Linked DNA regions of Sus scrofa. The protein of the gene in region 1 purifies or fractionates together with the protein of each later gene. This does not show direct contact. Links are inferred from orthologs where the notes say so. Each region holds a gene or a part of one and is shown on either strand. Other genes may lie near its edges. The genes, in order: RAN and AKIRIN2.

Region 1 (4,539 bases):
CAGTATAAGTTTATTTATACATTTTCCTATCAATGGACATTTACATAAAATTAATCTTTTGTTATTATCATATGGCAGGGAGCATTGGGATAACTTATCTCCTTGGGCATATGTGTGAGTTGAACTCTAGGGCATCTCCCTAGAAATGGAAATAGATGGTCATGAGCTATGGACATTAATGTGTGTTTTATTCCATTCTACTCTCCCAAGAGGCCAAACCAATTTACACTCTCACCAGGGGCATCAGCTCTACTTGATGTTTTCGTGGGGGGTGTCTAGGGAGTCCTCAGACTTGACTTTGCAGCAGGCATGTGCTCAGATGTGCTGTGTCCAATATATCACGAGTTCCCAGTAGACTAGCCTGCAAGTATGCTCAGGACTATGTGGCTAACTCCTTGGTCATTTGGGTTCTCTTTGCTCTGAGAAGAGTCCCCAAGGTGGAATCTTTTGAGGAACTTGGCTATCCTGATATGCTTGCTTGGGGAGAGGGGATCAACATATCAGTTTGAGGAGTTCCTTGTCGTGGCTCAGTGGTTAACGAATCAGACTAGGAACCATGAGGATGTGGCTTCAATCCCTGGACTTGCTCAGTGGGTTAAGGATCCGGTGTTGCCGTTAGCTGTGGTGCAGGTTGCAGAGGTGGCTCGGATCCTGCTTTGCTGGGGCTGTGGCGGAGGCGGGCATCTACAGCTGCGATTAGACCCCTGGCCTGGTAGACCCCTGGCCTGGGAATCTCCATAAGCGTTGGGAGCGGCCCTGAAAAAGGCAAAAAGACAAACAAAACCATATCAGTTTGAGAATCTGTGGCTGTTCAGACAAATGCCAAAACCTGGCCTTTAGATTTACGATGTGAGGTGGGAGGGCTCCGTTTGGCCAACGGCTTTGCTCAAAGCAAGTGAATGGGAATAACCAACACTTGTTGAGTTTGAGGTGTACCTCATTTTCTCTCTTGGACAATGGCCACAGGTGGATATGCCCTGGAGAATTAAGTTCTATGAGTGCACAGTTCTTGTCTGGACCCTTGACAGCCTTACCCTCACAAGAGTCTGGAACCTAAATACTCAATGACTGGAACCTAAATACTCAATGACTGCATGCCTGTTTGTCTCAGAAGAGCTGCCAAGGTGGAAACACTACATTGCATCATCCTGTTTGCAGAATAGGGCCACAAAGGCTGCTGACCACTTAGATGCTCAGAGAAAAAAGTGACTGGCATTTCAGGATGGGAAAGACATTGGTCTTTGCTTCTTTTACTCTCCAGAAGGTCCTTACTGAGATGGGGGTGAGGGTCAAGGGCAGGGGCCAGAATACCGGTGGGTGGGGGTGGGGCAGCACGCACCCCAACATGGCGCCCGCTCGGGGCCTGCGGTGCCGCGTTCGTACAGCTGCGAGGGGGGGGGGGGTCAAAGGCTTTGTGTGGGCCACCCCGCGAGTTTCCCGCCCAAGGGGGCCTCGGCCCTCTCCTCCCAGCTCTGTTCCCGCGGCGGCAACAGGGCGCGCCGCGTCGCTGTCAGCGCATGCGCGCGCGGGAACCCGCCCTCTAGGCTGGCGCACGTGGCCCGGCAGCCCGACGTGCGTGCGCGCGACCGCCGGGCCTCCCGCGTCCGGGGCTCCGGGAGCCTCTCCCTCCTGGACGACGGGTGCGGCCGCCAAAGCTGTGCTGTGTGCGTGTGCGCGCGCGCGCGCGCGCCGGGCCACGTGGGAGCGGCGCGGCGCCGTTGCCCCGCCCTCCCCCGGCGCGCGCCGGCGTCGTCTGCGTCTCCGGGCATTTGAATTGCGCTTCCGCCATCTTTCTAGCCCTCAGTCAGACGGGCGCGGAGACGCTTCTGGAAGGTAGCGGGGCAAGGGTGGAGGCCGAGGAGCCAAGGCGGGGATGGGGGGGTCGGGGCGTCCCGGTGGCTGTGGCTAGCGGCAGCCATGAGGAGGTGGTTTCGCGGGGCCTAGGTGTCAGGTGGAAAGCTCTCTTTCCTGGCCGCGGAGGCCCCGGGCCGGCGCCGGAACCCGGGCCGCAGTGGGCCGGGCGGGCGGAGAGGGTCCCCGGGGCGGCCAGGCGGAGGGGAGATCGGGCTGGAGGGTCCTGGCGGGGGCCAGGGGCGGCTGGGCCTGGTTGTGCTACCGTGACCAGGCGCTTTCCGCGCCCCGGTCTCCGCGCCGAGCGAGCCTCCCTTTCGCCCGGCCTCCGCGCCGACTGGGCGCGCGCCGGGCCCCGGCGGCCGGAGGAGCCCGGCTGAGGAGCAGCGCCGCCGTCGCCATTGGCGCGCCCTCGGCCGCCCGCGTGCGGTGTCGGGGGAGGGGGAGTGGGCGGCGGGGCTCCGGGTTGGAGGCCTTTGTGGGCCCGGGCACGTGGGGCGGGTCGGGCCATGCGGCCCGCGCCGCTGTGCAGCGGGCCTCACTTCTTTCTCCTTCTCTCGCAGTAACATCACGATGGCTGCCCAAGGAGAGCCCCAAGTTCAGTTCAAAGTAGGTAATCCTCGTGAGTTGGGGATCTGCTGCTGTGGACCTGAGGAGGGGATCTGCGGGGGGGGGGGGCTCTTGTCCAAACGGGTTTCACAGGGTCTCCTTTATGACCGCAAACCTGTGTCGAAGGCCCACTTCGTCTGCCAACATGTTCGTGCCGCGGCAGGGCCTTCAGCCCCCCGATAACGGGGTGGGGGTGCTGGCCCCACCCTACGGATAGGGAAGCTGGGCAAGGGAAGTTTCATTGGCTCCAGTCATTCATTAATATGGGACAGGGCAGCTTCATTAAGATTCTTTGTTTTAAATATACTTAAGGGATATTTAAAGTTCTGTTATGTAAGTGCAATGGGTGTCCATAAAATCTTAACTACATAATTCTGAGATCCTGAAATGTTGCGTGTCTTGGTGTTTATTTCAAAAATGTCTTTCGACAGCTTGTATTGGTTGGTGATGGTGGTACTGGGAAAACTACATTCGTGAAACGTCATCTGACTGGTGAATTTGAGAAGAAGTATGTAGGTACGTAGGGGAAAACCATTGATGAAGATGTGTGCGAAATGGATGAGTTCAGCGACTAACTGGAAGTGCTTGTGTTTCAGCTACCTTGGGTGTTGAGGTCCATCCCCTTGTGTTCCATACCAACAGAGGACCTATTAAGTTCAATGTATGGGATACGGCTGGTCAGGAGAAATTTGGTGGACTGAGAGATGGCTATTATATCCAAGGTAGGTGCTTGATTTGTAACCAACAGTTTTCGAGAGGATCTGTGAGTTGGTCTCCAAGGTTGCTTATAAATAATCCGATCTAGTCCAGTAGACTCATGCATAGTACTGACTGAACTGGGAATCGGGTAGTTGGATCCAAAGGATGTGCTGGCTTCAGGGACTTGACCATCATTTGAGGGGCAGAGAATTTTGTGAAGTTTGTTATGTGCCATTTGATTGTGTCATGATAGGCACGGTTTTGGAAGAAACTATGGTTTGTGTTCAGGCTCATAACTTAAAACGCCACAGACAAGCTGTTACTGGAGCTCCTGTATTTGAAAACTTGGGAGTGTTTGAATATATATTTTGGTGATTTCAACGATTATTTCTTGTGCACTCCATTGAAAAGGTAGTAAACATTTGAGCAGATGCTGGACCAGAGGAGCTAGGTCTTCTGTCTTATAAAATGTTGTATAGGACCAGCTGATTTCTTTTTAAATGTACTAGGTCTTGTGGAATATTTATTTCAAAGTGCTTGGTTTAAAAAATGGAAGGAAATAAGTGCTTATACCAAGAAAAAAAGATGAATAAAGAATGCTTATTTCCTAGAATCTTTCTCTTTTGATGAAAATTGTTGAGAATCTTTCCATGTCTTTTGCTTTCCTTGGGTACATACAAATGCAAGGATTCCCGCCAGCCAAATCTTTTAGCTACAAATCTGTGTGATACACTGTGCCTACTTAGTGGCTTAGCAGCCTTATTATGGCTGTTCTATAAGACAATAAATACGGGCTTCACTGAACTTTTGAAAACAGGCACACTATATATTCTCATGTATTTATCTATTTAAGAACCTTTTAAAGAATAGATTCTTACATCCTATATGTGGAAGGTGAGTTCTCTGGAATGCTAATTTATTGTTAATCTACATTGGGTATTTTTTTTTTGAATGAGGCAGAGTTTATGATGAATTACTACAGGTGGAGAGATTTCATATGGTAGGCTGGTCTTTCATGCTTTCACATACAATAAAAGAGAATTTAAAATAATGTATATTTAAATGGTCTAAGATTTTTAGAATTGGTATAGACCTTGCAATTGAATAGAGAAATTAGAGTTAGGCCTGAGATTATGAATCTGAGTCCATAGTTTTCAACATTTTTTTCATTTGGGTAGTAAATTCCTTGGTATGTACTAATTGCTGTACATTTTCCAGCTCAGTGTGCCATTATAATGTTTGATGTAACATCGAGAGTTACTTACAAGAACGTACCTAACTGGCATAGAGATCTGGTACGAGTGTGTGAAAACATCCCCATTGTGTTGTGTGGCAACAAAGTGGATATTAAGGACAGAAAGGTTAAGGCAAAATCGATTG
Region 2 (2,921 bases), on another chromosome or scaffold:
ATTCAAATACTACCCATCTGTACATTAAAAACAAGCAGGTTAGAAGTAAATGTTTTATTCCAACTAAATTCCAGTACTACAAGGGTAGTAAAACAATAATGATACACTGGGGGGAAAAAATGCAGCAATAAACATTTGTTAAAAAGACTGAGAGAATAAATAAAAACTACCAAAAAAAAAAAAAAAAGGAAATCATATAAACCCATTCTGAAACCCCAAGAAAAGTCCTGGAATACAGAAATGCCCTCCTCCTTCACTATTTCACAGGAAGCACTGTAGGCTATTTGCTTAATAATGTCCTGGGATTACATTCTAAATTATTAATAACTGGTTACATCTTGGTTGTAGTGCACAATTAAAATCACACTAACTTCATCTGAAGTGTCATTCTACAGTTTTATTTACACAACCAGTGAAGGGCATGTTCTTAGAATACCAGCTTTAATCTTTTTCAAACATTAATATAAGAAGCCAAATTGTAATGATACAGCAAATGAGGCCACTGGCATTAATACAGGTAGCAAATGTCCACATCCGGGTGGTATTGACATCAGGGAAATTTCCAAAACCAGTTGCTGCCTAAGAGTGGTTGCCACTGACAAAAGCTTGAAATAACCTGTATTCACAGGGGGTATTGGCATTGCTGCATGTCATAATTGGGACCTCTTGCAACAACTCAACAAGGAACAAGGCAGCCCACAACTGCAGAAAACGTGATTCATGAAACATCTAAAGGAGGAAAAAACGAAAATTAGTGCAAAGTTCAGGTCAAAAAATTTAAACACATACCAGATCTTCATCCCTAATATATTGCCTTACGTATTTAAGTAACCAAAAGTAAGCCTTAGTAAAGTTTTGCTGCTCATTTCCTCCAAACTTTTCCTCCAGGATTTTCTGTTAAATTTTCTTCTTGGGTATATAGACGATAATAAATGTCTTCTTAAAATACTGTCTTGTTTTCAGTTCAAAGATGAAATACTTACAACTAGCAGGCTGTTCTCCATATCGTCGCATTATTTGATCATGCGTAAACTTCACAAATGCATCATATTGTTCTGTAAATAAAGATAGACATCAATTACATGACTTAAAAATTCTCACCTAGGGAGTTCCCATCATGGCTCAGCAGAAACAAATGACTAGCATCCGTGAGGACACAGGTTCAATCCCTGGCCTTGCTCAGTGGCTAAGGATCCTGTGTTGCCGTGAGCTGTAGTGTAGGTCACAGATCTGGCGTTGCTGTAGCCGTGGTATATGCAGGCTGGCAGCTGCAGCTCTTGATTCGACCCCTAGCCTGGGAACCTCCATGTGCTGCAGGTGCCGCCCTAAAAAAGGACCAAAAAAAAAAAAAAAAAAATTCTCGCCTATATTTGCACCTAACTCCTTAATCAAGCTTCTAATATCAAATCCAGTAAAATCTGTGGCTTAAAAGCCAGGGGAAAATTCTGATTAAGTTACCACAAATAAGTTTTATTTATTGCACCTTAAACTAGCAAGTTTTACAGGAAAAAAATTTTTTGATAGTTTAAAAGAAGACTGCAGTAGGTGCCAGTTAAATTCAAGTGTCCAGACTGATAGCAAAATTATCATAAAAGACACAGTCAAAAAACCCACAGCTGGGAGCTATTGGTCATAGTGCAGTGGAAATGAATCGGACTAGTATCCATGAGGATGTGCGTTTGATCTCTGGCCTCCCTCAGTGGGTTAAGGATCCGCTGTTGCCGTCACAGATGAGGCTTGGACCCCGCGTTGCTGTGGCTATGGTGTAGGCTGCAGCTGCAGCTCCAGCTGAACCCCTAGCCTGGGAACTTCATATGCCATGGGTGTGGCCCTAACAAAAAAAAAAAAAAAAAAAAAAAACCCCAACCAAGTCGAGATAAATAGACAAAGTCAAACATGGGTACATCAAAAGAAAAACCTAATTCCCTAATACTGCTGGTGATCTCATAGCTAATGAATACTTCCTTTTTTTTTTTGCTTTTAAGGACCGCACTCAAAGCATATGGAAGTTTCCCAGACTAGGGGTCAAATTGGAGCTATAGCTGCTGGCCTACACCACAGCTATAGCAACACCAGATCCGAGCCATGTCTGTGACCTATATCACAGCTTACGTCAACACTGGATTCTTAACCCCCTGAGCAAGGCCAGGGGTCGAACCTACATCCTCATGGATGCTAGTCAGGTTCATTAACTGCTGACACGATGGGAACTCCCAATACTATTTCTTAAGGTCACTCAGGAATGCCAGGAGCTATAGAAAAGTTCATTTCCTTTCTTGAATTGAAATTCTCTAGCTCTGGAGTTCCCTTGTGGACAGTGGGTTAAGACTGTGCTCAGGTCACTGCTACAGCACAGGTTTGATTCCTGGCCCAGGAACTTCCACATGCCATGGGTGCAGCCAAAAAAAAACAAACAAACAAAAAAAACAAACAAACAAACCAAAAAGAGAGACAGAAAAGAAGAAAAGCTCTGATTCTTAGAAAAGAACCCTGTGCCAGTGTACAGAAAGGGCAATTTGACATAAAGTACATGTGGGATAGAATGCATTTAACAAACTCTAGGATGAATTTCTGGGAGACTCATAAAATTCATCTCATACCTGCAAGTTTTGTGTTCAGTATTTCTTCATACTCTTCTCGAACTTTCTCTTCACGTTCTTTCAATAAACGTTCACAGATCATCCCAACCTGCCGTAGGGTGAATAAGGGCTGTTCTTTTTTTAATGGTGAGGACGTTGCTGATGGAGTCCCTAAATAAAACATAAAGAACAAAAAGCACAACGTTCAGAGCCATCACAGAAAGCACCATCTAATTTAGGTTTCATCTGGATCTTTTCAATGTTCAAATACAAGCATTTTTCTATCACTAGAAAGAAAAAGCATTTCCCTAGTCTTAAAACAGGTTTACCTGTCAGCTTATG

The links.
Region 2: the proteins of RAN (region 1) and AKIRIN2 purify together in Homo sapiens (affinity purification with mass spectrometry; 3 studies listed by BioGRID and IntAct, counting the BioPlex papers as one, with this or other methods). This does not show direct contact. The link is inferred for Sus scrofa from reciprocal best matches to the Homo sapiens genes RAN and AKIRIN2.

Annotation. Positions count from the first base shown.
Region 1 is NC_010456.5:24,315,057-24,319,595, reverse strand, and holds the start of RAN (GTP-binding nuclear protein Ran), read left to right. Parts: upstream 1-1,571; 5' UTR 1,572-1,833; intron 1,834-2,414; 5' UTR 2,415-2,424; coding exon 2,425-2,460; intron 2,461-2,891; coding exon 2,892-2,976; intron 2,977-3,056; coding exon 3,057-3,182; intron 3,183-4,377; coding exon 4,378-4,539. UniProt on the Homo sapiens protein: GTPase involved in nucleocytoplasmic transport, participating both to the import and the export from the nucleus of proteins and RNAs. Switches between a cytoplasmic GDP- and a nuclear GTP-bound state by nucleotide exchange and GTP hydrolysis.
Region 2 is NC_010443.5:56,047,153-56,050,073, forward strand, and holds the end of AKIRIN2 (akirin-2), read right to left. Parts: intron 2,751-2,921; coding exon 2,601-2,750; intron 1,056-2,600; coding exon 984-1,055; coding exon of another isoform or gene 898-983; exon of another isoform or gene 730-897; coding exon 719-729; downstream 1-718. UniProt on the Homo sapiens protein: Molecular adapter that acts as a bridge between a variety of multiprotein complexes, and which is involved in embryonic development, immunity, myogenesis and brain development.